2 linked regions of the Anolis sagrei genome follow. The protein of the gene in region 2 purifies or fractionates together with the protein of the main gene of each other region. This does not show direct contact. Links are inferred from orthologs where the notes say so. Each region holds a gene or a part of one and is shown on either strand. Other genes may lie near its edges.

Region 1 (16,373 bases), about 59 Mb from region 2:
ATGTCACAGTTCAGCCAGTGCTTTGAGATAGTGGCTGGTTTAAGACAACTGTTAATATGAGTTTATAGCTGAGCTAATAATAATTCCGGTTTTACTGCCTCATAGGTCACTCTCTTTACAATACACCGGGCACACATTCATTTCATTCATTCATTCAAAGAGAGTTGTAAAGTTCTTGTTTAGAGAACTGAATATTCTTATTCAGATCATCTGATTCTTACTGCTCATGTATGCAAGAACTATATTGCTCCCCTCCCCACTTGTACCTGACAGAATCTGTATAGGATGGAGAAAATATGGCTTTCCAGTGTTATTTCAAGCAACAGTGTCTCAGGCCCCTTCCACACAGCCCTATATCCCAGAAATTCAAAACAGAAAATGCCACATTATCTGAGTTTGGACTCAGATAATCCAGTGAAAAGTAGATATTGTGGGATTTTCTGCCTTGATATTCTGGGATATAGGGCTGTGTGGAAAGGCCCCCAGAGGAAATATTTTGAGAACCTCCTATTTTTTTTTCTTTTGTGCATATCTAATTGTTATCGGATATCAACCTTATTTCTGGAATCACCTAGTGACTACCAGATTCATCTTTTCCAGCTCAGAATTTGTTAGAAGTTGTTCATCTTTTCTTCATTACTCGATAGTTAAGAATCCTTTCTTAGGAATTCAATCCATGCTTACCAAGCTCTTTTATAACTTGTCTCTCACATGTCCTAAAATACATTGGGGTTTGTTGGTTTCTTTAACAGCCACTGTGTCTCTCTTTTTGCATTCTCATTGTTTACTCTATACATTTCAGAGTCCCTGAACCAATCTGTCTCGACAACCCAGCTTTCATTCTCTTCCCATGTTTCTGACAGCCCAGACCTCAAGAGAGGTTCCAATGATAAATAGCAGGTCTGCCATAGGGAAATCGGTCACATGCAAGAAGAACCGATGAGGGAGCTCTTCCCCAAAGAACACTATGTCTGGCTTGATTATTCCAGTGCAGATGGGGCATTTGGGAATCTTCTCTGCCATCACATCCCCCTGAAACAAAAGAACAAGTAAAAGAATATAAACATATATAAGACACTATGACACACTGTGACATCATATTCCCTGAAAAGACAATCCACACTCTGTACGTGCCAAGCTCTGATGAAACCAAAAGCAACCCTGAAAGAGCTTCAAAAGTAAATTCCAGGGATTTAAGACCAGTGTAATCTCCTTTTTAATATTGATTTATTTACTTCATTTCTACCCCACCTTTCTCAACCCTGGAGGGGACTAAAGGTGGCTTGCAAATCTGGCAAAAATTCAATGCCCCACAGGTAAACAATAAAACAATATTAGAAATATGCTTCTGCTAGTCCTGAAGGGGGTGTATGTTGTATTTTCTCTTACCCTGAAATCCTCACCAGGATATGATCTTCGACAGACTGTACATGTTGCTGTAGCATATGTGCCATGAGCCTCAACTAGTTTATCTGGAGGAATTCCTGCAACTAGAACACAAAAGGCAGAGAGAAGAAGATCAGTTGAGCCAAACTCTTCCATCAACCACAGTTACAGTTCAGTAAAGTGGATGACACTACCAATCCCACAACCCAAAATCTCATTGCTACAGACTGACAGGGCCTCCATGTTGGCTTTTGTCTAAGACTCTAGTGCGTGTCTGTCTCCAGCTTACCTCTTTCCAGTCCATCAATGTTTTGGGTGTATAAGCGCAGCAGGATCCCTTTGTCATACAAAAGACGGAGGAAGTAGTGGGCATAATTAGGCCTGTAATTGCCTGGGTACAATTCCTTACTTAACAAGAAGAAAGGCTTAGGATTGTGAAAAAAGTAGTTAAGTTCAAAGATGGCTTCTGGATATGGAATATTATACTGCTGGAGATTACTATATAGCCCACTCCCAGGGGACCTGCAAAAAGGGAAAAAAACGGGGAGAGGGTTAAAATGGGATGTGGAATATGTTAGGGAAGTAAGCCCCTGAAAGGTATCATCTCTCTCTGTGAGAGTGAGTGGGTGAGTAGGATCAAGGCCCTTTACACTGATCTAATGTAATACCCTAGAAAGACCAGTATCCACTAATTGCAGTAATACAAAAGTATCTAAATACATAGACATTCAGTGTATACATACAATACAAATGTAAGTAAAACATAGGATTGTTACATTCACATTAAATAAAAAAGTTGTACCCTGCCAAGAAAGGAAACTACCCTTAATAATTTTTAAAAGCACCCAAGTCTCCTTTTTCTGCCTATGCTCTGCTCCTCATGTGACTAATGTGAAGGCTGCTGACAATATCTTTTACAGATAAAGACCCAACATGGTCCCCATCTACACTGACCAGATTCAAACTGCAGTGGCCAGACAACAAACTCCCACAGAAGCGTGCAAAAGAAAACCTTAATGCACATCAATGCTTTGTGGTATGTAATCATCATCTGGGCTTCAGACCAGTTCCAGTGTTTCTACATATCCATCTACATAGTAAAACCACTTTCTTCAATATCAGTTTGAAACAACATTAACTGGGGCCTAGGTGGTAGCCATGGGGCAATGCTCGTGCAGTTAAGAGGGCAAGGCCTCCATTTCAGCTTTTGTGTTACCGGAAATCAGGGATGCCACTGGGAGTGCTGAGCCCTGCTCCAACCATTACCACTATTCTGTGGCATTCTTTCTTTCGAATTAATTCTGTCACATCTTTCAGGGTGAGCTTCTCTTTTCCACTGTTGTCTCCCCCTTTGCCAGCTCCAAAGAACAGCATTGGTGAAGTGGATAGGGAAAAGTGCCTGACTCCTTGGATCCTGCCAGCAATATAATAAATATGCAAGAGATTACAAAAGAACACTGTTCACCAAAATGGAATTACTGAAGCTAGGATAAAACAGTCTGAGCAAGTATTAGGGAAATTAAAAACTGGTCTTGCAAACTTGCTTTATACATGGGGATACAAATCAATTTGTCTTTCTGACAATGCTTATCCTTTCAGATGTAATCAGAAGTATATTTTATAGAGTCTTTCTCACATACTTTTTTGAGTTTGGAATGCCATTGATGGATTCCATTCTTCCAGGGCAACAAGGATAGCAATTGCCTGCTTGTTTCCAATGCCTGTAGGTCCAACTTACACATTGGGGTGGAATTCGAAAGTGTTGGACAGGGGGAAGAAGATGGCAGTAACAACAGTTGCTTTACTCATTATATCTCTTCATAGCATTAGGCTGAGAATGCCAGCTGGTTGGTACCAGGACTATTATCTACCTCCTCTGGTGTCCATTATTAACTGTCCCCTGGTAAGGTCAAAAGTGGTGGTGCTTCTGGAAAGCACTTTCCTCAAAGCCTTGTTCAATCTGAAATCAGCTTTGGAAGTACTTAATCCAGCTGTACTCTACAGAAACACAGATCTTGTGCATTCTGAATCACAATTAGTATTTTCCAGGGTTCATACTCTCAGCACTGTTTTAGAATGAGTGGCAATAACAATGGCAAATTTGACAGGTCCAGGATACTGGTGGAGTGTGCTTGGCAATATAAAGAAGCAAGAGGAGCTGGATCTGATGGTTTTTGCACTAAGCAGGGACACGATTCTCATGACTGAAGCAGGAAGGACAAAGATAAGAGAAATAACAGCTGCTATTTGGAAGCATATGTCTTGGAATTTGCACATATTTCTTTTTCCTAAGCAATCCCATAAGCCCTTAGGTAAACTTCTAAGTGATCATGTTGTGTCTTTCTGCTTCTTCAGCTGCAAATCCCACAACCAATGATGTGTGTTGCAGTGTAGAATCGGAAGGGCTTCAAGTTCTCCAACCCTGATTATAAAGAAATTCTTTTAGACTGGTATAAGTTGACCTGAGCTCATCGGCTTGCAGAGTTCTCAAACTGAGACTGGAAACATAAGACTAGCCTAGATTATCAGATTCAGCATGGACATTTAATATGCATCAGGAATTACTATAATTCAGCAAGTTAACAGGAAACATGCCAGAATGAAAACCCATAGTAGAAAGAGTACAAAAAGCAAACATGAGTTCATACCTGTCTTCAAACATGCTTGACATTTTGCTAATGTTATCTCCTGGAATCCTCTGCAGTAAGACATGTCCATTTGGAGGAGAAAAGTTTGGTCTTAATGAAATGAGGGTCATATTTTTGTGTGCTATAGAAATAAAGGAGTTCCTGTAATGGGACTGCTGAGCACATATCCAGAAATACCTCCAACCTTTTAAAAACAAACAAACAAACAATTATTTTCAAATGCAGAATGTGAAATGTTACGCAGAAGGAAAAACCACTCAGTTAATTCAAACTTTATATAGCTGACTGTTTTCTGGAATATACATTACTATTGTCTACGATGTGTTTGCTACTGGGCAGGCAAAGAAATAGGATTTTGCCCCAAGTACGAGCTCACTAATCTATGCATGCTAAGAGAAAAGATAAAGAAAAATACAAAGGTGGGGAGGGGTCTTACATTTTAATTCTCCTTTTACTGTTGAGATAATAGTAGAATTACAAATCATTCTGCTTACCAAAACTTCTGTTAACAAGCATAAATGTAATGCAGTTTCAATTCTGAACTAGGGTTAAGTAGTATATGCTTTGAATGAAGAAATGTATAAATTCAGGTTGTGACATTGCTAATTTTAAAATTTCAGGCTGCAGCAGGGTCAAGAAAGACTTCTTTCTTCCAGAGATCCTGAAGAGATGCAATTAAAGCAGTCACTACTTTGTACAGAGGAAGTTGGACCAATGGTCTCATTCACCATAACACTGCATTCACTTTTCTTCGTTTAATACTAAAAAAGATTTTACATACACATATGTGGGATTTTCCATTCCAGCTCTTCATATTCCTCCCAATATTCAGGGTGCCCTTTTTAGATAACATACTGTTCCCTTGAATTAGTCTTCTACTCACCCATTAACCTCTCAAAACTTGCAGCACGAAGTACATGCTTTGCTACTGAGACTCTGAAATGTAATCGCCAGTTCATTCCCTGTTCACTGCTGGGTCCTGTACAAGAAATAAGAAATGCAAGAGAAAGTTGTCTGATATGTTTCTGAATGCCTTTCCTTCTACTGCTTCTGAAAAAATTAATGGTTCCACCAACACAGCTGGACAGGACCCTGTTCGTCTTCCTCCTCCCCCTTGTTGTATCAGTGATGTGAAGGTTGTGGGAGATTTTCTAGAGCATAGAGCAAACCACCTTTCTGTTTGCTTTTAGTGATCTTCAGCCAGGAAGAACAGCTGAACAGCTCTTTACCGTAATGTTCCTAATAGGAGAACCTAAATTAGCTTATGCTTTGTAATAGCTTAGCCTTTTAAAGGTTATCCAAGAGGAAGAAAGCAGATACTAGGAAATTACAATTACTTTATCTCATCAGATCTTTCAATGTTGTAATTTCCCAAGGAGGCTCGCATATTTTAGTTCAAAAATCTCAGTATTAAAGCACAGGCAATTAAAACCTTTGCCTGTTTTTTGCACTATTAAGTGCATCGAGATTTTTTGCAGATCTCAGAACAGCACTACTTTTCCAGAAGACCTTGTCTTATCTTATTTCAAATAAACACTGATACCGTTAATTTTTAATTATACAATCTATAGTTATGAAAAGGTGGCTCATGTTGCTGGACTGAGCAAGACAGCCAAACAAGCAAGATTCCTGGTGACCAACACATGCTGCTGAAAATCATAAAATCCATACAATTGAGTCTTCTGCCTTGATGCAGCTATATTCACATCACCTCTCCAAAGATCAAATAAGATCACAGCATGCTACTGTGGATGAAACTCGTCACAGAAAATCATATTAGACCTTAGAGAGTTAGAAATTATTCAGTGCATTATCTCATTCCATAAATGTTTTGAATAATCCTCTTTTCTTTCACAACTGTGATTTTTTTTTGTCAAGGCTAACAATGCTGATCAGTTGTTAGGTAGTGGGCATACAGTCAGCACACAAATATGCTTCCTCCTAGGATGAATACAACCAAAACTGAAATTGAAGTCCCTCTTACAGATTGCCTTGCTAGCGTGGTATGCCCAGTACAAATTTAGCTGTTAAATACTGTGGTTTTGAGAATGTTAGGACAATGAATCAATGAAATAATGCTAAGTAGGAAAATGCTATGAGAAGTCAGAAATGCTGTCATGACTGTGCATAGCTTGATGACAATTTTGGCAATGTTGAACTGCTGAAGAAAAATACTATATATACATAGAAAAAGCAAAACCAAAAGTACAAATAATGTTGCAAATACATAGAATTACCGTGTGTGTGTGGGTGTTGGGGGGGGGGCTCTCAAAATAAGAATCATGATTACAATTTCTCCACTGTTAATTTATTACCCTCTCCTATCTCAATTACAGTATACGTTTGTGAGGAACTTGCAATTTGTTTAATCATGCTTTTGCTGTTGTTTCCTGTGGATGTTTGACAAGGTGTTTTTAGTTTGGTATGAACCACTGTGTGTACAGTACATTGCATCCCTTCTACAGATTAAATAAAGCCTTTGTTGTTTGCCTTCAGCTGGAGGGTCCTGATCTTTCCAGAATATTATTTAGAAGATCTTGCCAGGCGACAGGCCCTCATTATCCGCAGCACTTAGAAAATCAAATTTCAAACCCGAATATATGAAATGGTGCTTTAAATTTCCAATGTTCTGCAGTTATTACCTTTTGTATTTTTGAATTGGGAAAAGGATATTTATTTATTTTTACATTTTTCTTACCCAAACCTCTTTCCCAAACGTTTAGTTTTTCTCCCAAGGTGGCTCCTACTGGGCCAGGAGCTTGCCTTCCTTATTCTCTGAAGGCCTGCTCCCAAAGGTTTTGGGGACCATGGATTCTGGGATGTGAAGTCCAAAACCTGTGTTACTCTACTTCATCTTCAAGGATACATTTTCGCTACCGCCTTCAAAATGTTGTAACAGCGCAGATAATTTCGACAGCCCTCAACACTGAACTTGCTTATCCTGAGACAGGGGCGGCTCAACCCATTACACAAAGTAAGCTTTTGCAGTATAGTTAATTTTGCCCAGGGGCACTCTTGGAGGAAAGTAGACCTTGACATATGCGAGTTGTAGTTACTGGGATGTATAGTTCACCTAAAATCAAAGAGCATTCTGAATTCCACCAATGATGGAATTGAACCAAATATGGCACACACAGAACTCCCACGACAAACAGAAAATATATATCAGTGACTGGCTGGGGGGGGGGGGGGGGGGCGCCAAAATAGTGTTTGCTTAAAGTTGAAAATTACCTAGGGCCACCTCTGTCCTGAGAGAGGCACTGTCGCAAGCGAAACACGTGTGCTGTGTGCTAATGCCACCCAACAGGCCTATATGGGGGGCGGAAAGGGGCTTCTTACTTACTTAGAGAAGCTCTACTGTTCTAAGTAAGGCGCAGGCCTATGTTGTCATGGGGACCGATTCCCCCCCCCCTTCCCAGCCTGGTCTCTCTCCCCTCACGCGGGGTCGGCCAAATGAAATTAAGCTTCGACCCCATCGGAAAGCGCCGGCTCCGGTGGAGGAGTCTAGGCCGCCGTTGCCTTGGCAACCAGTCCTTCTCTGTGGGACTGGCATTGTGAATGGATGCGGAGGCCCTATACGAATGTGCAGGCCTCGACAGAGGCGACTAGGCCTCTGTTACCATGGTGACCAGCCCCGCCCTCCCTTCCTCCCTCCTCCAGCACTGCTGCGGCGGCGGCGGCTATGCGGGGCCATACGGTACCCAGCATGCCCTGCGCGGCCACTGCCGGAAGTGAGTGTGCATTTCCGGCGGCAGGCAGGGCGGCCCGGCCTCCTGCTTGTGCGGCTTCTTGGGGTCACTCACTGTTCTGTCGTCGCTCCCGCTGCCGGCGCCGCCATGAAGGACGTCCCGGGTTACCTGCAGCAGAGCCAGAGCTCGGGGCCTGGCCAGGCCGCCGTGTGGCACCGCCTGGAGGAGCTCTACAACAAAAAGTGAGCGGGGAAAAGGGCGGCCCAGGCCGGCAGGCGGGCGGGCGCGTGTGGCCTTTGGAAGCCGTGGGGCTGCTCGGTGTGTTTCCTCCGAGGCGCCTCACTCAGGAGGTGTTTAGGTCTTGGACATCCTGATGCTGGATTTCCACACCCCCCCTCCCCCCCAAATTAATGCAGTTTGATGAGGAACCATCACTCTGGCAGAAGATGCTAAAAGATCTTGTAAAACTACATCTCCCGTGATGCCATGGTATTGAGCCATGACAGTTAAAAGTGATGTCAAACCATTCATTATACAGTGTGGATGCATCTATATCAGACATGGGTAAACTTGGGCCCTCCAGGTGTTTTGGACTCCAACTCCCACAATTCCTGACAGCCTCAGGCCCTTTACTTATGCTTAAGCGGCTGAGGGGGAAAAGTAAAGGGCCTGAGGCTGTCAGGAATTGTGGGAGTTGGAGTCCAAAACACCTGGAGGGCCCAAGTTTACCCATGTCTGACCTATAATGTGCTTAATACAGCTCTGATTTTCCTCTTCCCTTTCTCTTCCTATTTGGTCTTGCTCACTCCCGTTTCTCAGCCTTGACAAATCTTTTTATGTATTGTCGAAGGCTTTCATGGCCGGAATCACTGGGTTGTTGTAGGTTTTTTTCGGGCTATATGGCCATGTTCTAGAGGCATTCTCTCCTGACGTTTCGCCTGCATCTAAGCATGCCATAGATGCAGGCAAAATGTCAAGAGAGAATGCCTCTAGAACATGGCCATATAGCCCGAAAAAAACCTACAACCCAAATCTTTTTATGCTATTAAAAGCTATCTCTACCCAGATTATGCAGTTTTCCTGCCCCTTTCTGTAGAAGCGTGCACTACAGATGGTGTTTCCTGTATCTGAAATGTGTTGAGACCAGAAGTGTTTCAGGGCTGGATATTTTTTTTTTTTTGGTATTTTCAAATACCTGTATTCACATGTATGTATATGTTGGAGACGAAATCCAATTATGTTTCATATTTAACTTATACATGGCCTGCAGGGAATTTTATGCAATATTTTGAAATATTTTTGCGCATGAAACAAATTTTGTGTACATTGAACCATCAGGAAGCAAAGGCCTCACTATCTTTGCCACTAACATGTTTGCCATGTTTAATGTTTTAGAGTCTACTGGTTTTAATCTATTGTTATATGCTATTTTAGTTATGTGTTGTATTTTATATTTTGTGAGGCATTGAATTTTGCCATTTGCCTTGTTGTGAACCGCTTTGAGTCCCCTCAGAGCAGTGGTTCTCAACCTTCTTAATGTCACGACCCCTTAATACAGTTCCTCATGTTGTGGTGACCCCCAAGCAAAAAAATATTGTTATTGCTACTTCATATCTGCAACTTTGCTACTGTTATTATGTAAATATCTGATATGCAGGATGTATTTTCATCACTGGACCAAATTTGAATACTGGTGGGGTTGGGGGGATTAATTTTGTCATTTGGGAGTTGTAGTTGCTGAGATTTATAGTTCATCTACAATCAAGAGAATTATGAACTGCACCAATGATAGAATTGGGTGAAACGTCCCACACAGAACCCCCATGACCAACAGAAAATGTTGTGTTTTCTGATGGTTTTTAGCGACCCTTCTAAAAACCCCTCGCGACCCCTCCAGGGGTCCCGACCCCCAGGTTGAGAACCATTGCCTCAGAGACAGAGAAAACTGGTATATAAATGAAAGAAAGAAAGGAATAATAAATGCATGCACAATTTCAGATTTTGGAACATCATTTTGGATAAGATATGCTCAGTTGTGCACTTGAAAGGTAATTCCTCCTAGATTACCTTAAGTGGTTTTCCCGCCCCTTACTCTGGAGACCTATAGGTGGACTTTATTATCTTTGTAAACACAAGTTTTGAAGATGGTTGCATCCTTCAATGAATTTTTATACTGACATGTTTCACCTTGTTCTCCTATGGTTGGTGGTGCATTAACAGTTTGCTCTTTTGATCAGACGTACACTGCTGAGTATTTTCGGCTCACTGGCTGCAGTATATACCCCATTTTGGTCTGTTCACAACTGAAGATTTTCCTTTCCTTCTTTATCGCGAGAGCAAAATATCACCTAGTATAGGGTTACCATGAGTGATTCCAGCCATGAAAGCCTTTGAAAATACATTTCTCTAGTATAGCTTCACAAAAACATGTTAACTGTGGGGCTCCAGTATATGACAAAGACTTTAAACTAACATCAACAAATGAGAAAATTATTTTGTTTGTTTCATTGAAAAGTGGCAGTGTGGGTGTTCTGCCATAAAATGTTTGCATAAAATGTATATATAATATGTAATAATTAAAGTGTGACCGTGAGTATATGAAATGCTCTATAATGAGTCAAGGCTTTGATTTATCTAGCCTAGTATTTATAATGCCTAGCAGCAACTTTCCAGATCTCATTAAAGGGTCGTGTTTGGGGGTTTTTTTGCTCAGTCACCTAAAATTACAAAAGTAGAATCCCTAGGCTGACTACACATCAGGGATCCTATATCTGTAATAGTTAGATCTGGAGCAGATAAAGCACAAATACTGGATCTTCCCTCATCCTCCCTACATTGATTTGCTGTGTTCACTTCCAAGCAATTTTCAGTGCTATACATCCAACTATAGAAACAAACACATTCATGTTTCTTCCACTGCTTCCACCTGCTTTGCAGAAGCCAGTAAATTATCACGTTGATGGAGCAATGCAGTAGCTAAATAGTGGATTCTGAAGAACATAAAGGATGATGCGTTGCTTAGTTCTGTCTGTCAGAGCTTTATACAAAATTTTCTGATCCAGAAACCTTTAACTAAAAATAGACAAACCATATTTAATTGTACTCAACCTGGCAGCCTGATAAAGTATCAGGGTTTTTTTTCATGCTCTCCTGAGAAATTAATTTGGTTTTTAGTCTTTGTTTCAACCCTACTCAAATTAGATTTTTAATTCACAAGTACGTTTATCTTTGACAGATAACAAAATTTGTGCCTCTACAGATAGCCAGAATACCCAGTTTTACAAGTAGCTACTGCTATATTAGCATTTTCCGTTCCCATCAGTACCTCTCTCTATTTTACAGACTCTGGCACCAGCTGACTCTCCAGGTTTTGGATTTTGTACAGGATCCCTGCTTTGCCCAAGGAGATGGACTCATCAAGGTAAAGTTCCTAGTATTATAGTAAATTGTAATGATATTGGGTTATATTATGAATATTTTCACTTCTTAGATGCCTTGAAATTGTTAAGTAAACTTGAATTTTTAGTAAAACAGAAACACAATCTGTTTCCTCAGTATTTGAGAAGAGGAAGTAAACTTAGTATCCATGGGGGATACGTTTCTGGACTTACTATAGTGAAAATAATGAATAATAGCAAACTTAAGTGTCACCAACATGAAGAGTTTGGAAATACCTGTCTTAGATAGTTGTGACCAACAAATATAATATTATGCTAAAATTGATTATTTTTTATTTATAGTTATATGAGAACTTCATCAGTGAATTTGAACACAGGTAAAACTTCCAACATTCATTTAAAATGAAAATAACCTATATTTTTGTATTTACTGTTCATGACTTCATTTGTGCATATTCTTTCTTTTACTCTAGGGTGAACCCCTTGTCCCTTGTAGAAATTATTCTTCATGTAGTGCGGCAGATGACAGGTAAAACCATTCTCTTTTTCGTTTTGGTGTGTTTTCCAAAGTGGAATAGTTCATAATGCAGACATGTCAACAGATTTTTAAGAAAATCTGACAACAGTTGTCTCTTGGGTGAGGAGAACAAATCATACTTTTAGATTTCTATTGATAGCAACTATTAAACGTATGGGCTTTTAAGGTCAATATATTATTTCATAGTGAGAAGATATTAATGGAGATGTTGAGTGTCTGTCCCTAGGGGTGTTCCAGACCTTAGGAAATTTACAGCCCAGAAATAAATTAAACAATTACTGGGTGAATATTTGGATAAGAGTGTCCAATCTCTGACTTTGAGCATTAAACCAGAAGCTCATTTAGACCAAAGGTCTGAGTAAATGTTTGATGATTCACTTTTGCTGGGAATGAAGGGAGGAAGATGACCTGAGCACCATCAAATTTACCCCAGGGAAAACACAGTGAAAACAGACTCTCAGTACTAAGAATTTTAGTGAAAGACTAAGATGAAATATTGTGAACCTTAATGTGATTTCCACTTACACCTTTTTAGATCCTAATGTGGCCCTTACTTTTCTGGAAAAGACCCGAGAAAAGGCAAGTATGATTGTATGAAAGGCCTATCAGCCATACATGCAACTATTCTTGTACATCTGCAAACTACCCTACAAACTAGATTTGCTAAGAAATGACCAAAACAGGAATAAAGTCAGTTTTTGAACCCAGTGAAAATGATACTGCTAGTGATAAATTGCCTTGAGCAATTTTTTAGGGAGAAAATAAAGTTAACAGAGCTTTTAACTGATGTTTAGATGTATTTCTATGTTGTGGCTCCAGGTGAAAAGCAGTGATGAAGCTGTGATTCTTTGTAAAACAGCCATTGGGGCCCTGAAATTAAATATTGGTGACCTGCAAGTCACAAAGGTAAGACAGTATTTATATTTTAGTGTTAATGTGTCTTGTCTAGATATGTAATGTCACATGATTGGCAAATTTTGTGCAATGCTTAGTTCTCAGTGTTTCTGTCTTTTGGTATATGTTGGTCTTTTAGTTACTGAATTCTTTGGAAAAGATTAGGGTCTGTCCAATCCTTGTGCTCAGTTTTGATGTGTATTACTGCAAATATCACACCACAGGTTGAGTATCCTTGTCCAAAATACTTGGAACAGAAGTGTTTTGGAGTTCAGATTTTTTTAAAATATTGAAATATTTACATTTGCATATGAATCCATAATGAGATATATTGGCGATAAGATCCAGGTTTGGACACAACATTTCATATACACCTTCTGCACATAGCCTGAAAGTAATTTTATGCACAATATTTCTAAGACTTATATTCATGAAACAAAGTTTGTGCACATGGAATCATTAGAAAGCAAAAGATGTCACTATGTCAGCAATCAATCTGAACAATCTTTCATTTTGGGTGTCAGATTTCTGGATAAGGAATTCTCAATCTGCACTGAAAATTGTAATGTGAGTTTTTCTAACAAGTGTATGTTACTAAGGATGTAATAATTAGGTATAACTAATGATATAAGTTCTCCTTAAGTGGCTAGAGATTATAACTTTTGATATTTAATTGATTCTTTCTGCTGTTATCATCTATGTATATTCTATATATAATCACTATAATCCTACACTACAATCCATAACAGAGTGTAACCATTTCACATTTGTCTGAGAGGCACATCTTTCAGTGCATTCATTCTTTGTAGAAATTAAGGCTAGCATTGAATTTGCCACAAACAAACTTGAAAGGTTTCTGTACCTGTGAGTTCTCTGTCTTTGATTAGTTGGGACACAATATATTGCATAAATAAAAGACTGTATGTATCCTGCATTTTGAATGAATCAGATTTATGCCACTGTTTATAGCTGCAGCGTTTTCTTCCTATTTTAAAATATTATTGTTTCTTGTCATCCTTACTATTTGAGAATTTTCTGCAATTTCCTTGTGATATTAAGAGATTGAAATGTGACAAGACTGGTCATACGCTGGTGTATAAAGACTTTCTGTATATGTTTCAGATTTCGATATTAATGTCAAAAATATATAGTATGATTTTACATAGGATTTGTGCTACATTGGAGATCAACATGAAGAGACAATATCCCATCTATTTCCATTAGGAAACCATAGAGGAAGTTGAGGAGATGCTGAATAATCTGCCTGGTGTGACATCTGTTCATAGCCGCTTTTATGACCTCTCCAGCAAATACTATCAGACAATCGGAAATCATGCATCTTACTATAAGGATGCTCTAAGGTTTCTGGGATGTATAGATGTCAGAGATCTACCAGGTAATGTTCCTTTTTTCTGTTCTTAAACATATTGCAATTGTACTCATGGATATTTGTATCAAGTGGAAGCTTGTATGGTGGTGGTTGGAGTGTGGAGGGATGTGTGTTGGTTTTTGTGATGTGTGCTGGGGAAAGCATTTAATTTTGTTGTGCAATGTACAATGGCAATAAAGTTATTCTATTATATTCTTGAGAGTATTGCTTGCCCTCTGAGTCTCAGAACATGAAGCTTAGAACAGGGAAGAAAATTACTTGATCATGGTAATTTGTTTATTGAATCAGTTATACGATGATATTTAGTATTTCAGAAGCAGGGGTCTAAGTATTATAGCTTTCTAGTTTTAGTTGGCTAGAAAAACTTTGTATTCTGTGTCTGGAGCCACTTAGGGCAAAAGTTATTAGAATAAGACCTCTGTAGGATTTTTAGAAATACTCCTTATTTTAAAATAGTGGAGGCTTCGTCTTTGAAGGCTTTTAAACAGAGGCTAGATAGCCATCTGTCAGGGGTATTTTAAATGAGCTTTTCCTGCATGGTAGGAAGTTGGACTGATGCCCATGTGGTCCCTTTCAACTTATGATTCCTTTTTTTTTTTTTTACAATTGCACCCTCTCCACAACTAAACTAACAAAGTTTTGAGGGTTCTCTTTGTCCTTCATGCAGAAAAACCCATCTCAGTTGGTTTTCATTTTTTTTTTAAAGATCCTTTAGTACATAGGAATTTGGCATTGTGTGTGCATGTATAGATTTGTTTTGCTTTTAGGGGAAATCTACATTTAAATTAAATAATATACAGATGTGCTGATGGAAAATATTGGTGATCCAACTTCTATTTCAAAATGATATAGATGCCACTTACTGGAATCTATCAACTACTGTGAGCTTGGGAAATCTTTAGATACTAAAAGGCTGGACTGTAGAACTTTTGTTTGACCGAGGACATTTTTCCTCCCAGTGGCAGACCAACAGGAGAGAGCTTTTACATTGGGGCTGGCAGGACTCCTTGGTGAAGGAGTCTATAACTTTGGAGAACTGGTAAGTAGCAGAACTTTACTGTTTAAATTGTTGTGGTAGAGGAAGCTGGCTGCTATATTTCAGCATCTTGCCTCTTTTCCATTCTCAGCTTATGCATCCAGTGCTGGAGTCTTTGAGGGACACTGACAGACAGTGGCTGATTGATACTCTTTATGCCTTCAACAGCGGCAATGTGGAGAAATTCCAGGCTTTGAAGTCAGCATGGGGCCAGCAGGTAAGTACCTGGTACAAGGACAGTAGTGAGCAACTAATAGGTGAACAGGTATTTCTGCAGCCTGTGAGGGACTAGAAAAATATGAAAGTACTGTACATGACCATTAACATGTCTTCTAATTAAACATAAGTTGAAAGCCCATTTCTAATTTCAGTTTGAGGTTTTCCCATTACATTGGGCATTATCTAAATACTTTGGGAGGAGTGCGAGAGTAAATCATTTTACTTGTGGCTTTATGAAAAGGTTTTAAGGGATTCATCTGGACATCCCTTAAACATTGAAAGCTTTTTTTTAATGTCAGGAGCAACTTGAGAAACTAAGTTGCTTCTGGAGTGAGAGTATTGGCTGTCTGTAAGTACGTTGCCCAGGGGACACCCAGATGTTTTACCATCCTGTAGGAGGCTTCTCTCATGTCCCTGCATAGGAAGCTGGACGGGAGCTCCCCCCGCTCTCTGGATTCAAACTGCTGACCTTTCAGTCAGCACCAGGGGGCTCCTATCCTTAGCAATGAAATGACAAGGATTGTGGGATTGGCTTGGGGCATACATCTTGCTGCATTATAGCCAGGAAGGTTTTTGGATTAACTTAAGTTCTGAACTATCATGTTTTATAGCCAGACCTGGCTGCAAATGAAGCTCTTCTCCTGCAAAAGATCCAGTTGCTTTGCCTCATGGAGGTGAGTCTGTACCAGAGAGATTTGTCTTTATTTGTGCTAAATAGTCCTTTTTACCCCAAATCTTTCTATGTATTATGTTTTTTAGTTATATATTTTTATTTAGTCTTCTTGTACATAATTTTTCTTTAGGTATGTGACAGTCTCCTAGGGCAACATGTGACTTTTGTGTTGTATTAAATCTGGATGATACTTAAGAATCCTGGAAATAACTGGTCATACTAGATTGTTGTTCTGCAGGTATCTCTCCATTATTGTTATGAACCATCAGTCTTGCAAAGCTAAAGGAAGGGACCGCCATCATCAGTAGTACCCCACTTTTCTCTCTGGATTGTGGTTCACAACCTTAAAAACAATACAAATTTAAACCTACAAAATATAAATATAAAAATAGGATTCTACAATTATCAAAACAAGTCAGTTTAAATCACATTAAAACAAATAAGCAAAAAAACCCCTTTTAAAATAGATTGAAACACCATTGTGGTTGAAGTAACTAAAGAG
Region 2 (16,178 bases):
TTGCGGATATTGTTGCAACCTGTTAAATAAATAAAAATATAACTTCACTCTCTTCCTGAAGCCAGAGGACAGAAAAAGTAACCACAATTATCACAGCACAAATTTTAAATCTGAAATATTGCATTACATGACAGTGTAGACTCAATGCAATTAAGCTGCATTCTTAAACTGAATTATATGGCAGTTCAGATGGAGCCCGAGAAAGAGAAATATCATTCTGCTAGTCCTATTAAATAGCATAACTCTTCTGTGAGAGAAAATAGATGGAAAAGAGAACCAATTTATTTATGAAGAAATGAGTGTTACCTGAGCAATTTCTTCGGGAGTTGTGACCGGTTTGGACAATTTCTTTAATTCATTAATTGCAGCATCTACAGCTAGCATCACTCCTGGGGAATACATGACAGTCAATCAGATGATGATTATGTTTATTTACACCTTATCTCCATAAGGAGACTCAAAATGGTTTACATTAAAAGCATTTCACAGTACAATTTAAAATCTAAAAGGTAAAGGTTTTCCCCTGTCATGTCCAACTCTGGGGGTTGGTGCTCATTTCCATTTCTTAGCCGAAGAGCCGGCGTTGTCTATAGATACCTCCAAGGTAATGTGACCAACATGACTGCATGGAGCGCAGTTACCTTCCTGCCAGAGCGGTGCCTATTGATCTACTCACATTTTGCATGTTTTCAAACTGCTAGGTTGGCAGAAGCTGGGGCTGATAGCAGAAGCTTACACCCGCTCCCCGGATTCAAACCTGCGACCTTTCGGTCAACAAGTTTAGCAGCTCAGTGGTTTAACCCACTGTGCCACTGGGGGCACCAATTTAAAATCTTCTCAGTACTTACGATGGCAAATACATAAATTAATATGACTTCAGCCCCCAAACCTATTAACAAATATCATCACAGTTACATAATGCATAACCATATTAAACATGGGAAGTTTCAACACATTACTTGACAGAAAGTACTAGAGCAATAGTTCTCAATCTGTGGGTCCCTAAGTGTTTTGGCCTACAACTCCCAGAAATGCCAGCTAGCTTACCAGCTTGTTATGTTTTCTGCAAGTTGAAGGCTGAAATATCTGGGGACTCCCCGGTTGAGAACCACTGTGCTAGAGTAGCCTTGTAATGAGGCAATTTTCAGACATTTTAAAGTAAGCCTTCCATCAAGTTCCAACAATGATGGCTAATTGCTATGGATAACTGGAAACATAGTCTAAAACCTTTGGAGGATGCCACTTTGGGGTGGGAATGCTGCATTTAAATGTTGTGGAGTCATGCAAATTCCATTGAAAAACTTTACCCAACTCAATTTTTACTGTACAGTCAGACCATTAAAACACAAAGCAAGACAAATTTTATCAAGATTGTTACCTCTCCTAATTTCCACTGGATTTGCTCCTTTACTGATCTTTTCAAATCCTTCCTTTGCAATTGACCGTGCCAATACTGTTGCGGTTGTGGTACCATCTCCAGCCTCTTCATTGGTATTGTTGGCAACATCCTGAACCAGTTTGGCGCCAATGTTTTTGTACTTGTCCTTCAAGTCAATGGCCTTGGCTACTGTCACACCATCTTTTGTCACCTTAGGGCTTCCCCAGCTCTGTTCAATGATTACTGTTCTCCCCTGTTAATGCAACACATGATTTTTTTTAAAAAAAAGGTTTGCACACCTTGTGTACAATTTTTGCTAATGTTTACTGTTTTTAACAACCCAGAATGAGAGTTTTGCATCCAAAACAGCTTTTTGGTTTTTTCCAATACTATCAGAGCCTTTTGGCAGCTCGCTGCTTTATACTGTGATTCACACGATATATTAACAACACATCAGTGTTGACCAGGACAAGCAGCAGTCAGAATAAAATAAAGTGAATGCTCCTATTATGTGGATGTTCATGGAGCTGCTGGAATAGAGAACACAAACCTAAGTAACCAGCAACCATGATACCATAGCAATAAATAAGAATACAATGAAGTACTCTGACCAGCTTTGGTGATACAGGGGATGGTGATAACCACACTTATCTGAGAAGTGGGTGCTTATATGATACATACACCAACTGGAATGTCTCTGAAATTCATTCTTGACTATTGGTGGGACTCTTCCAACAAACGCTTTGCTAGGAAGCTTGCAAAACACATCTCCCTGGCTCTCTGAGTGTCTCTTCCGAATGTGAGGTCATGGAAAACACAGCAGAGGGAGTTCTGGGCACCTGACATTTTTAAAAATGTACTCAAGCAAATCTTTGGACCTCTGCCCAAGAAACCACAAGCAGGCATGGAGGCTAATGGGAATAAAACAAAGTAGGAACCTGATGGAAACCTGGAATATCAACAACCAAACAACAACTACCAAGAGACTTCAAAAACTTAATAGTAAACTTAGACTCACGCCACTTATCTTTTTTACTGATTAAGAATAAGCCTCAACTGCTACCTTGCTCCTTTAGAGTACACAATTAAAATGTTTATTTCCACAGGGTACCCTCCACACCCTCTGGAGATGGCCCCTCAGCTTATACATGAGTCAAGGTTATTTATTATTTTACTGTCATCACCATCATCATTATCACCATCATTATTACATTTATGATTTTACTCTATTATTACATTTATTATTTTATTCTATTAGTTATTATTACATTTCCATTATAGACTCTATTAATAATAATAATAATAATTTATTATTTGGCTATTATTATTGGAAGGATATATAAGCACATTTACATTGAAGGTGGTTATAATAATGGTTTAATCAGAATTGGAAAGTCTTATCTGAAATTACAGTTTTATGTAAATATTCAAAAGCATTTAACCTACTGATGCCTCAATTAATGTAATTTTATTGATATCTATTTTTATTTTGAAATGTACCAGTAGCTGCTACATTTCTCAACAGAGATCACCAAAACTTCTGGTTACAGCAGTCATAGAAGATAGTGAACATTCTCCACTGCATTTATTCTCCATGAAGCTATAATAGCCCTTTCTGTTGGAAATTGGAAAGAAACCTATTCCATGTTGTATGGTAGTCCTGGCACTGTAAATCTCCCACACAATACAGTTTGCTCCTGCTTCTTTTCACTCTGAAATCTCATAGAATGTGAGGTTGCCTCATATTTCACTCACCTTGCTACAAACTCATTCACATCAGGCAAGTATGTTAAGTTGCAGTATCTTTACAAGCAAAACTTAAAAATAAGAGTCCAAGGGTATGAATTAAGTGCTTGTAAGCATACTCGATACATCAGGATGTATTAATCACATGTTCAATCCTCCCACCGGGAAAAAAAACCAGACTTTTAATCAATTCCATGAAAATTAACCTCTGTACCTTTGGTCCCATGGTGACAGCCACAGCATCGGCAAGCAGGTCCACGCCTTGCAGCATGAGCGCTCTCGCGTCTGCTCCAAATTTGACATCTTTTGCATAGGCTCTTGTAAGGTGTGGGGCAAGTGCTCTGGACACCGGCCTCACCTGACGAAGCACTGTTGGCAAACGTAGCATTTCTATAAACAAAGAGATAAAAATTACACAGGCTTCAACATGAGCAGAGTACCTAGTGTCCCAAGCCTGGAGGCTAATCTTCAGTGCAGTCTGTAACCATGAACTCCAAGCTTATGTGGCCTTCAATTAATTACATAAAGTATCCAATCTCGTACATCAACTCTTTTCCACTCTGTTATTTTGCCACTGAAAGAACCACCAAGCAAACTGCTTGCCTTTAGGAATGCTAATTAATGTATGACATAGGTCCGTTTGCATTAATGAGCCCATGGGTCTCTTTGAGGTATAAAAACTAAATTGGCCTACAACCTCTTCCCTATGCCCTGAAGTGATCCCAAAAAGTTGTGTTTGATCATAGCTCCATAAACTTTATCTGGGTGTCAGCAGCACTGCATTCCCAAATAGTGTTCTTCCACGAACCGAACAGCGTGACCACTAACAGATCAAAGAAGGCATAATATGTCCCTTTAGCAGCAATCCCTGTATTGGCAAGCAAAAACTTTTTATTCTGCTATGCTTATGACGTTCAAACTGCACTACTGTTGAAAGAGAAGTCTAACTGGTTGAGTTTTAAATTTCTTTTTTAATGTTATTTTTGAATACCAACTTTGTTTTTGATCTGCATTTTATTCCCACTAGGCTTTTGGTTAGAAAACAAATCCTGAGGCCCTTCAACACAGCTCCATAAAATCCCACATTATCTGCTTTCAACTGGGTTATATGACAGTGTGGACTCAGATAAGTCAGTTCCAAGCATATATGGTGAATTATCTGCCTTGATATTCTGGGTTATATGGCTATGCTGAAGGGCCCTGAAATAAGCGTCCCTTCTACACTGCTATATAATCCAGATTATCAAAGCAGATAATCCACATTATCTGCTTTGAACAGGGTTATATGAGGTCTAAAAGGTAAAGGTTTCCCTTTGACATTAAGTCTAGTTGAGTCTGACTCTGGAGGTTGGTGTTCATCTCCATTTCTAAGCCAAAGAGCCAGCATTGTCTGTAGACGCCTCCTTGGTCATATGGTCGGCATGACTGCATGAAGTGCTGTTACCTTCCTGCCAGAGTGGTACCTATTGATCTACTCATTTTTTGAAGTTTTCAAACTGATAGATTGGCAGAAGCTGGGGCTAACAGTGGGAGCTCATGCCACTCCCTGGCTTTGAACCACCAACCTTTTGATCAGCAAGTTCAGCAGCTCAGCGGTTTAACCCACTGCAGCACCAGGGGGCTCCTATATGAGTCTACACTGCCATATAATCAAGTTCAAATCTGGATTTTATATGGCAGTGTAGAAGGGACCCCAGTTTATAATGGTGAAGGGACTGGATGGACCATGAGGTCTCTCCCAACTCTAGATTCTATTATTCTTCCCCATGGCTCCAAATGGTGAAGGTGTCATTGATATAGCTGAACCTTGCTGTGGGCTTTTTTTTTTTTTTTTGCCATTTCAAGGCTTATTAGAAATGTGCTTTCTCTGCCTCACCAAATTACAACTCCTAGGGTTCCATCGCATTGAACCAGGGATGCAAAAATGGGCCCAAACTACATTAATTCCGGAGTGTAGATGGACCCCGTATCTCATTCCAACAGTGTCTATTACAGTTGGTGTCTGAGAGAGCTATGCATTGAGCTTTTTCACCCCCCCCTCCAAAAAAACCCTTTTGCACATTTCCTCCTATGATCTCTTTGCCTTTGGACCGAAGTGGGGGGTGGGGAAAGAGAAGCACAATTTACTGAAACTAATCTTAGGTGACCCAGGATGGTGTAGTGCAGTCGTTCTCAACTTGGGGTCCCCAGATGTTTTTGGCCTTCAACTCCCAGAAATCCCGACAGCTGGTAAACTGGCTGGGATTTCTGGGAGTTGTAGGCCAAAAACATCTGGGGACCCCAGGTTGAGAACCACTGGTGTAGTGGTTATGTATTGAACCAAGATTTTGAGGGACAGGGGTTGAAATCTTGGCTCACAAAAATCCACTTGGTGGCTTGGTCACACTCTCTCAGCCTCAGAGGAAGACCAAGGCCATTCATTGCTGAACAAATCTTGCTGAATCCACCAAATATGGAGCTTATGGTTCACACACGGGCAAACTTTGGCCTTGCAGGTGTTTTGGACTTAATCTCCTACCAGCTGTTTGGAATTGTGGGATATGAAGTCCAAGGCGCCTGGAGGGCTGAAGTTTGCCCATGCCTTTTATACGATTTTTGGTATGCACTGCAAGGATGGAGATAGTCAAAGAATGAAAACAATTAGAGAATGTTTCTAAACAGAATAGAGAGTTTGTCTGAGTATGAATTGGTAACAACTCCAAAAAGGTACACAACTTTATGGAAGTACTGAATACCATCAACTTCTTTCACCCCACCCCGCCTTTCATCTCAAAACTGGTTGAGTCTGTATCAAAGTCAGAGGAAAGCAAGAGCATGGACTCTGGTAGATGGGTTAACTTGGGTAGAAGATAAAATGAAGCAATGAAGAAGAAAGGGAGTACAACTTGATGCAAAGGGGGCGGTGTGGGTGGGCAGAAGAGGGGAAAGTCCAAGGAGCAAGCCAAGCATATCTTGGGGCCCCACGTGCGCTTTCCTCGCCATCCGGTCGCGCCGCACAAGGTCAAATGGAAAGAGGAAGAGAAAGGCCTTGTGCGCCCCCTGGAGGCCGGAGAGCGGCGCTGCAAGCACCTTTGCAGACTCCTCCTCTTACATAGCCAGAGGCACCCAAATTTGAAAAGTAACACACAGATCAAGGCTCATAAAGGCTCATCGGAGGCCCCCTTCTACCCTGATCATTTAATGATAACCTCCCAAGACAAGAAACCCCCGCAAAAGGCGTGCAAAGAGAAAGTCCTTCATGACCTCCAGGGCTTCCTATGTGTAATCAACCTGTCTCAGAAACATTGAGGAGGAAGAGACCACATGCATGTAATCACTAACAGATGGCCACCTGACCTCTGTTTAAAAGCCCCCAAGGAAGGAGCTTGCACCACACTTCGAGGCTGAGAGTTCCACTGCTGAACAGCTCTTACAGTCAGGAAGTTCTTCCTAATGTTCAGATGGAATCTCCTTTCCTGTCATTTAAAGCCATTGTTCCTAGTCGCCCAGCCTCTGTTTAATAATAACAACAACAATAATAATAAACCTTTATTTATACCCCGCTAACATCTCCCGAAGGACTCGGTGCGGCTTACAAGAGGCCGAGGCCAAATGCAACAGTAAAACAATAGCATAACAACTACAACAATAACACCACGACACAGTTAAAATCTAAGGCCGGGCCAAATGTAATTATTAAAATATTTAAAAATGCTGGACATAATCAAGTGAAATGGTTTTTGGAGATAGATGCAGTATGCAATTAATCTTAAATCTCTAGTAATGTGCATTTGAGACATGATGCTTGGAGTTTCCTATTCTGGGAAGGCACACTGGAACAACCACATCTTCAAGCTCTTCCTAAAGACTGCCAACGTTAGAAAACTGCATTAATTAAATAAGCAATCACTGCATCTTACTGCTGGAGAAAATAACAGGTGGGGCTTGGGGGGGGACCAGCCCAATTCTAAACCAAGTCAATTCTGGGATGTGTAGTTTTGTGAGAGATTCCGCCTCCTGTCTCACACTCTGGCAAATGAAACACGTGCCTCTTCAATACTTTTAGTTCCCTTCTACACTGCTACATAATGCAGATTATAAAAGAAAATAGTCCACATTTATCTGCTTTGGATTAAAGGAGTCTGCACTGCCATATAATGCAGTGCAGAGCAGATCATCTGGATTTAATATGGCAGTGTTGGGTCCTTTCCACACAGCTGTATACAATCCACAGTGTGGAAAGGGCCTTAGAAGCCACGCTGCAGAATCATAACTTCTTTAAACTGCCCCCTGTGGGATGTCTCATTCCTGTGGGATGTTTCATTTTGTGAGATATTTAGCCTTTTCTTTCCAATTATAAACCCTATAATCTATAAATTCTATAACCATGTAGTGAGAACACTTAAAATGGTATTGAGAGGCCATTATGATATTATTACATCATCCTGGGGATGGGAGTAGTCGCAGGCCCCTTCCACACAGCTGAATAAAATCCCACATTATCTGCTTTGAACTGGAATATGGTTCAATGTGTGGATTGAGATAACCCAGTTCAAAGTGTGGATTGAAATAACCCAGTTCAAACCAGATATCGTGGGATTTTCTGCCTTGATATTCTGGTTTATATAGCCCGCAGTCCAACCCTTTATTCCGTTGGCTATACTCTAAAACTCCTAAGCAAATAAAACCAACACTCATTTTCATAATACACCTAAAAGGAAACTCAGAGATTCCCCCCCCCCCCCGCAAAGGTACCAATTCCCTAGTCCCACGCTTTCCCTCGCTCTCAGCCGGACCGTACCACTTTCCTCAGAAGGGGTGACGGCTGAAAAGAACTCCGAGACTTTCCCCTTATTTTGCACCCCCTACTATGTGAGGACTTACTTGCAAGAGCAGCGGGACGATCAAGGGAAGGCAGAGAAGCTGCTGCTGAGCCACGCGCGCACGCAGCTCGCAACCCCAGCGCGCGACTCTCACGTCTCGCGACTGCACCCTCCGGCCCCGCCCCCTTCTCCCCTCTCCCTCCGGCCGCATGGGAGAGGCCCCGGAACCAGCCTAACCGCACACCCTCCCGCCGTGACGTCACCCAGGCGCAACTTTCCTGCGAGTGAGTCTGTGGGCGGGGCCAGCCGAGGCTTGCCTCGCGCGCTGTGTGGTTTATTCAGATTCCGGGGCCGCCGGGTTCGAGAATTTTCTGGTAGGCCCATGCTCCGCCAAAGGTCGCGGGAAGCATTTCGCAACTTCCGGAGGCCATCCCTGCCTTTCCCCTTTGCCCCCTGAGAGAAAAGTATTAAAACTAGGAGGATTGCGAGTGAGCAAAGCAACCCGGCCAAGGATCTGTGTGAAATTGACTAATTATACATCCAAAGGGTGTTTTCTTTCTCGCCCCCCCCCCCGGTTCCCTCTTTCATAGCCACAGGAAGCAATAGTTCCCCATCCCGGACGGGGTGTGGCGAGCGCATGCGCAGTGTGCCACGCTTTCCTTTTTTTCACGTGCGTTCCTTCTCTGCGGATTGGACGGAGCGCGCGAGCCGTCGCGAGGAGGAAAGAGCAGAAGGGCGCGCGCCATGGTAAGGCAAAGGGAGGAAGGGGGAAAAATATGTGGTCCTTCTCTATGGGCCCTTCCACACAGCCCAGGATATCAATGCAGAAAATCCCACAATATCTGCTTTGAACTGGGTTCAGATAATGTGGGATTTTCTGCCTTGATATTCTGGGATGTAGGACTGTGTGGAAGGGCCCTCTGGGGTTGGACTGGATGGCCTTTGTGGATCTCCTACTACCCCCTCTATGAGTTACACGTGGGGATACTGGAGGAGTAGGTTCTCTTTATCACAGCCACTATGGCCTTCAAAAGAGCCCCCGTTTTCAGAAATTGTGTTTTTTCCTTTTTTCCTGCGAATGGAAGAAGGTTCAAGGACACAACATGGAGAAAACCGCATGATAGGATTGTCGTGGGTTTGCCATAAATCAGAAACTACTTGAAGGCAAAGAAAGGTATGGACCTTGGGAAACTATAATTCCCAGGACCACATAGTAAGGAGCTATGATATTTAAAGTGGGGTCCAAGAGCATTCATTCCATAGTGTAAGTGCACCAAAAGAAGGATATGGTCTTTGGGAAACCATAACTTCCAGGACTGCACAGCATGGAGACATAGCATAATAATCATCACCCAGACATATCATGGAAGGAAGGGAAGGAAAGGACCTATGGCCTTCAAAAGAGCCCCCGTTTTCAGAAATTGTGTTTTTTTCCTTTTCCCCCTGCGGATAGAAGAAGGTTCAAGGACACCGCATGGAGAAAACCGCATGATAGGATTGTCTTGGGTTTGCCATAAATCAAAAACTACTTAAAGGCACACAACCACAAGACGATTCAATCAAAGAAGCTATAGTGCTGAGTTTTCAGGATCTAAGCAGGGCAATTATAGTTTTGGGTGGTCTCTCATTTATGTGAATCCATGGGCCCTTCCACGCGGCCCTCTATCCCAGAATATCAAGGCAGAAAATCCCACAGTATCTGCTTTGAACTGGGTTATCTGAGTTCACATTCAGATAATGTGGGATTTTCTGCCTTCATATTCTGGGATAGAGGGCTATGTGGAAGGGCCCATGGATTCACATAAATGAGAGACCACCCAAAAGGGCCCTCTGGGGTTGGACTAGATGGCCTTTGTGGCGTCTCCTACCCCCTTTATGAGTTACACGTGGGGATACTAAAGGAGGGGGTTCTCTTATCACAGCCACTACAGCCTCCAAAAGAAATTGTGCTATTTCCGTGGTTTTCCTGCGAATAGAAGAAGGTTCAAGGACGCAGCATGGAGATGTAAAAACTCCAAGCTAACCCAACAAGGATCTTTCCTGTCAGGATATGTCTGATGGTGAGGGCATACTTTTGCAGATGTGTTGTCGAAGGCTTTAATGGTCGGAATTGCTGGGTTGCTGTGAGTTTTACAGGCTGCATGGCCATTTTCCAGAAGCATGCCCTCCTGTCATTTCGCCCACATCTATGGCAGAGGATGAAGGGTCTGTTGGAAACTAGGCAAGTGGGGTTTATATATCTGTGGAATAATGTCCAGGGTGGGAGAAATAACTCTTGTCTGCTTGAGGTACGTGTGAATGTTGCAATTGGCCACCTTGATTAGCATTGAATGGCCTTGCATTTAAGTGTGGGTGAAAGGTCAGGAGCAACTGCTTCTGGAACATGGCCATGCAGCCCGGAAAACTCACACCAACTGACCCTTCCAGATATTTTATTCAATCCTAGGGTCCTTCCACATAGTCCTCTATCCTAGAATATCAAGGCAGGAAATCCCACATTATTTGACTGTGGACTCAGATAACCCAGTTCAAAACCAATATTGTGGGATTTTCTGCCATGTTATTCTGGGATATAGGGCTATGTGGAAGGGCCCCTAGAGTTTGGAAGAGACCCCAAAGCTCATCCACTCCAACCTCATTCTGCCAGACAGGAACACACAATCAAAGGCCCCTTCTGCACTGCCATATAATCCAGATGAGCAAAGAAGCTAACTCATATTATATGCTTTGAACTGGATAACATGAGGGCCTTCCACACAGCCATATAAACCAGAATATCAGGGCAGAAAATCCCACAATACCTGCATTGAACTGGGTTATCTGAGTCCACACTGCCATATATCCCAGTTCAAAGGAGATAACGTGGGATTGTATTCACCTGTGTGGAAGGACCCAGAGTCTACAGTGCCATATAATCCAGTTCAAAGCAGATAATCTTCATTTTATATTGCAGTGTAGACAGAAGTCTAGGCATCCCTGACAGATGGTCATTCAGCCACAGCAGCTGAAAAATTACCTCAGGTACATAGGTATATAAAATAGGTATACAAATACAACATTTACTGCTAACAAATTTGCACTTGCAGGGCTTGCTAAACAGGCTGAATTTCCTTTTTATGAAGCCTTTTTTGCAATTGGCTGAAAGCACTACACCTGGTTACTAATAGATTTGCATTCAGACCCAAAGCAGATAATCCTACATTATCTGCTTTGACCTGGGATATATGGCAGTGTGGATTCAGACAATCCCATTCAAAGCAGATATTGTGGGATTTTCTGACTTGATATTCTGGTTTATATGGCTGTGTGGAAGGCCCCTCAGAAGACTTTTACTTTTGCCCATGTTTTGGCTTTTTACTTTTTTGTGACACCCAGCATTGAGCTAATGGGACCCCATTTGGGGTTAGGATCCACAGTTTAAGAAATCTTGGCCTTGGGGTGTGATTTTATATGCTTTTATGTTTTTAACCTCGATTGTTTTAATATGAATGATGTTAAAAACCATTTTAATATTTGTATATTTTAAGTTGTGTTGAAATGTTTTTTGCTGTGTGCCACTTTGAGTCTCCATAAACAAAATAAATGATAAATAAATAAATACGTGGTCACCAATATTTCCATTACAGTGTTTGAAGTATTTCTGAGCAGCCTTGTAATTGCATGCCCTCTGATTGTTTCTTTTACTCAATACACTTGACAAAATCCTTTAATTTTGCAATCTGTTTTCTCAAGTGGGAACCTACACATGAGGAAACACATTGTTATGGAAGGCAGGGGTTCATGGTTAGAGACAAACTTAACTAAGGTTTGAAAATGCCTAAGATCACATGATGGTCAGAACACGTGGATTAATGTTCTGCAGCCGTTCAGTGTGCAGGATCTACTTTTTGCCCCAGTGGTGGTAAAGAAGCATGTAGTGCACATATCTAAATGGATTTGGTGCTTGATGAGAGATTGGTGGCAACTACGGTAGTGTTTTAAAAAAGAGCATTTTCAGTTTTCCAAGTGTAAGGAGTTTGTTGTGTGCCCTCAAGCCCTTTCCAACTTAAAGGTGGCCCAAGGTAAGTTTATGACAGGGGTTTCTGGGGCTCAAGGTCACCCAGTGGGTTTCCATTACTAGAAGGAAAATAATCTTGGTCCCCAAAGCTGAAGTCCCAACATTCAAATCACTACCTCACGCTGGCTCATAAGGAGTTTACTTGTCTGCATTTTTTGGATACAGTCTTGATTCCAGAGAAGTTTAGCTGACTTTGTCAATAGTAATTGCCGTTTAAACTGCTTATTTACTTAAGAGTGAGAATTCTTAGTAGGGGAACGAGTTTTGAAACTTTTAAATAAAATATGGTTATCTGAGTCCACACTGCCCTATAATCCAGTCCAATGTGGATTTTATCAAGCTGTGTGGAAGGGGCCAACACCACAAAGTTCCATATCTGCCCTATGGACTGGTAGCTAGATATTAGGGAGATATGTTTGTGTAGGATTTATTTTTAGCTTTAACATTGTTTTACAAGATAACTGTAGAGATTGGTTAGCAATTCCCTTTTGTATGATTAATTCTTGTTATTTTTATGGACTGAACTTAACTGTTAGCCACAGCATTAAAGGCTTTATAAAAATGCAGAAATTATTTCTTGTCGTGAACAAAATTTAAAAGTCTTCAGTAGGACACTTTGTCCTTCAAGTAACTGATCCTTTGTTCTGCCTGATAGAAAATCCGTTTTCCCAATCACTGCCTCTGCAACAGCGACATCTAATGGGTTCAGCTATGCTGGCCTTTCTCCTATTTTCTAGCTGCTTCTATGAGTGCCTTTTTTTATACAAGCCTGGAGGAAGCTGGGAGGGACTGGGAAAACAGCCAGGGCCATCTGCATTGGATCATTTCCTTCTCAACATTGTCTAGTTTACTTTTTAACTAAAATCAGTGGCTACTCTCCATGTTCGTTATCTTTTCTCTACTGCCTGTTTGGAAATCCAGGTTTGTTTTACATCACAAAAAGAAAAATAATGTTGGCAATAAAAAGTATTGACTTGCTTTCTAAAGATGACAGAAAAGTCTATAATTAAGCTACTTGAGGCATCCAAATCCAAATGGGAAAACGGAAAGGACGGTTACAAAAGTTAATGAATATTCTACAATTCAAAGTTCAGAGTGCTGATAATGCTGAATACACTTCTGCAGTTAATAATTTCCTTGTGGTGATTAACAGTTAAACTCAGGACCATATTCTTACTAACTGCATTGTTTTCTTTTCCAGATTATTCATTTGCAGGTTAATAAGTCAAAACTAGGAATGCACTGAGAGGCATTCTTGATTATATATTTGGTCTTAGTTGAAATTCATAATAATTATATATATATAATTTTGTGTCAAAAGCATTGCATAAATAAGAATAAAAAACTGATAGAGGGAGCACAAGCATCTAAATAGTTTTTGTCCAAAAATGGGAAACAGCAACCACATTGTCTGTGGCTTTAAACAATTCTTCCTCTGGGCATGAGGCAGGGCATTGTGGGCAAGCTTATAGGTGCAGAGTTGTTTGTTCTGCTCCACAGTCACACAAGATGGAGGATTCTTCTAGGTAGTGCCATTTTGCCAGGTTGTCTTTTGATCTGCCCACTCCACTTCTGATACTAATTGTAATACAACATTTTTATCACATTTCTATAATTTCATCCAATCCAATATTTGTGAATTAATTATTAAATTTGACTTAGTAATTTGACCAACAACATTTCAAATAAGATCACTCAGGGAGTCTTGGCTACTTTGATCTCTGATAAGGATGTTCATTTTGCAACGAATTATTCTCCAGGGCGAAATGTATGAGGCCTTTTTTCAAAGTGCCCAGAGGAGAAATTCCAGCAGTGGGTGCAGCTGAAGGTATTGGCAGGGCCAGGAAACACATTTAAATACCTTCAGATAATCCTCTTTACAAGGTTGGGCAAAGTGCAGCCCTTCGGATATTCCCAGACTGCAACTTCCAGCATTTCAGCTGTACTGGGAAAGAATTATGGGAGTCTGATCCAGCAAGATCTGGAGAGTTGCATTTTTCCTGCTCTTTCCCTCTTCTCCCAATTAATGATTGAAATTAATAGAAGTGGAGATACTGGATAGGAATCACATCATTTCTGCTCATGGGTTATATCCACTCTGCTGATTCCCCATTTTTCATATGTGGAGTCACAGGACAGCACAAAATATGTTGTGCTAATAGCCTTCGTGTTTTCTCCATTCTTATTATGCTGAATCTGTACAGCTAAACCTCCAGGAAGGCTTATTCTGTTGTTGTTGTTCATTCGTTCAGTCGTCTCCGACTCTTCGTGACCTCATGGACCAGCCCACGCCAGAGCTCCCTGTCGGCCGTTACCACCCCAAGCTCCCTCAAGGTCAGTCCAGTCACTTCAAGGATGCCATCCATCCATCTTGTCCTTGGTCGGCCCCTCTTCCTTTTGCCTTCCACTTTCCCCAGCATAATTGTCTTCTCTAGGCTTTCCTGTCTCCTCATGATGTGACCAAAGTACTTCAACTTTGTCTCTAGTATCTTTCCCTCCAGTGAGCAGTCGGGCTTTATTTCCTGGAGGATGGACTGGTTGGATCTTCTCGCAGTCCAAGGCACTCTCAGAACTTTCCTCCAACACCACAGCTCAAAAGCATCGATCTTCCTTCGCTCAGCCTTCCCTAAGGTCCAGCTCTCACATCCGTAGGTGACTACAGGGAATACCATGGCTTTGACTAGGCGGATCTTTGTTGCCAATCTGATGTCTCTACTCTTTACTATTTTATCGAGATTGGACATTGCTCTCCTCCCAAGAAGTAAGCGTCTTCTGATTTCCTGGCCACAGTCTGCATCTGCAGTAATCTTTGCACCTAGAAATACAAAGTCTGTCACGGCCTCCACGGTTTCTCCCTCTATTTTCCAGTTGTCAATCATTCTTGTTGCTTATTCTGTAGCTGGTGTCATTTGAATAAAATACCCCCGTTTAAGTTGCCTTAGTTAAAACCTCCACAAAGCTTCATTGTCCACAGAGCAGTTGTATGAATCTGAGCATTTTCCAGACTGCCTTCCTCTCTGTGTGTCATATTCGCTGTAAAGAGTAGAATCATTTCCTGATAGATTCACATGATTTGTAGCTGAGAATCACATTGCTTTGTGGTTTATCTTAACAGGCAGGGCAGGCCTTTAAAAAATTTCTTCCGCTGTTTGACCGAGTCCTGGTTGAAAGATGCATAGCAGAGACTGTAACGAAAGGAGGCATCATGCTCCCAGAAAAGTCGCAAGGAAAAGTACTACAAGCCACTGTTGTGGCAGTTGGCGGAGGCTCCAAAGGCAAGGTGAGTAAAATGTCAACCTTGGTCCACTCCAATTTCACCTCAATGCTCTGAGATAGATAGTCTCACAACCTCTGACGATGCCTGCCATAGATGTGAGCAAAACGTCAGGAGATAATGCTTCTGGAACATGGCTATACAGCCCAGAAAACTCATAACAACACAATGATTCCAGTAATGAAATCTTTGACAACATGGTCTGTTAGGCTTATTCTCCTGTTAGTTCAGTTTCCACAGCAGCTGCTCCCATCACTTTTTAAGATTTGGGAGAAATCCTAAAGTTGTAATTCTGGGCAAGTTTATCTGTAAGACCCACTGAACTAACACCTTTTTCGCATATGCAATAAGGCTGTGTTATTTATGTATTTGGTGCCTTCTTTCCAATCTAGTTTTTCTTGTTGGATGAGGGAAGGAAGAGAGAAATTTTACCTGATGTGTTATAGACAGGTGGAGCTTGCAGTTCTTACTTTTTAATCCATATACCACTTTGCTTGCAAACTGACATGATAGAAATGGAAGAAAGGAGGAAGTTAATAAAATAATTATACACTGTGACCTACAAAATCTTATGTCAAATCAAATACATTTGTTTCACATTCTATAAGATTGTTTTTGTTGCAGCTCATAAATTAAGTCATTATTCAGGTAGCAAGCTCTTGGGTTAAATCTACACCTCTTGCTGAATTTGGCTACTACTTGCGCTAGCTGGCTATAGTTCAGTGGGTCACAAAGGCCACTAGGATGCCACAGAAGTAAAACAGTCTTGTACTGCCCCCATCCTTTGCCTCTGGCTGAGTTGCATAACTCCCCTAGAGGCAGTGATGAGTTTAGAGGCAAATTCTTACCATTCTTTTGTTGAATGGGGATGGGACTTGGTCTCCACACCCAATCCCATCAGCTGCTGGCTTGGGTTATGAA

What was found.
Region 1: the proteins of HSPD1 (region 2) and SIRT3 purify together in Homo sapiens (affinity purification with mass spectrometry; 3 studies listed by BioGRID and IntAct, counting the BioPlex papers as one, with this or other methods). This does not show direct contact. The link is inferred for Anolis sagrei from reciprocal best matches to the Homo sapiens genes HSPD1 and SIRT3.

Annotation. Positions count from the first base shown.
Region 1 is NC_090021.1:237,802,414-237,818,786, forward strand, and holds the start of SIRT3 (NAD-dependent protein deacetylase sirtuin-3, mitochondrial), read right to left. Parts: upstream 7,694-16,373; 5' UTR 7,378-7,693; intron 7,371-7,377; exon of another isoform or gene 7,266-7,370; intron 5,285-7,265; exon of another isoform or gene 5,207-5,284; intron 5,201-5,206; exon of another isoform or gene 5,014-5,200; 5' UTR 4,994-5,013; coding exon 4,918-4,993; intron 4,219-4,917; coding exon 4,035-4,218; intron 2,801-4,034; coding exon 2,603-2,800; intron 1,909-2,602; coding exon 1,676-1,908; intron 1,491-1,675; coding exon 1,390-1,490; intron 1,033-1,389; coding exon 871-1,032; coding exon of another isoform or gene 838-870; exon of another isoform or gene 685-837; intron 1-684. Other genes in the region: PSMD13 (26S proteasome non-ATPase regulatory subunit 13), read left to right, coding at 7,871-7,965, 11,066-11,144, 11,464-11,498, 11,595-11,650, 12,195-12,238, 12,479-12,565, 13,778-13,949, 14,903-14,982 and 2 more.
Region 2 is NC_090021.1:178,705,212-178,721,389, reverse strand, and holds the start of HSPD1 (60 kDa heat shock protein, mitochondrial), read right to left. Parts: upstream 8,104-16,178; 5' UTR 7,988-8,103; intron 3,515-7,987; 5' UTR 3,513-3,514; coding exon 3,339-3,512; intron 1,632-3,338; coding exon 1,379-1,631; intron 390-1,378; coding exon 307-389; intron 20-306; coding exon 1-19. UniProt on the Homo sapiens protein: Chaperonin implicated in mitochondrial protein import and macromolecular assembly. Together with Hsp10, facilitates the correct folding of imported proteins.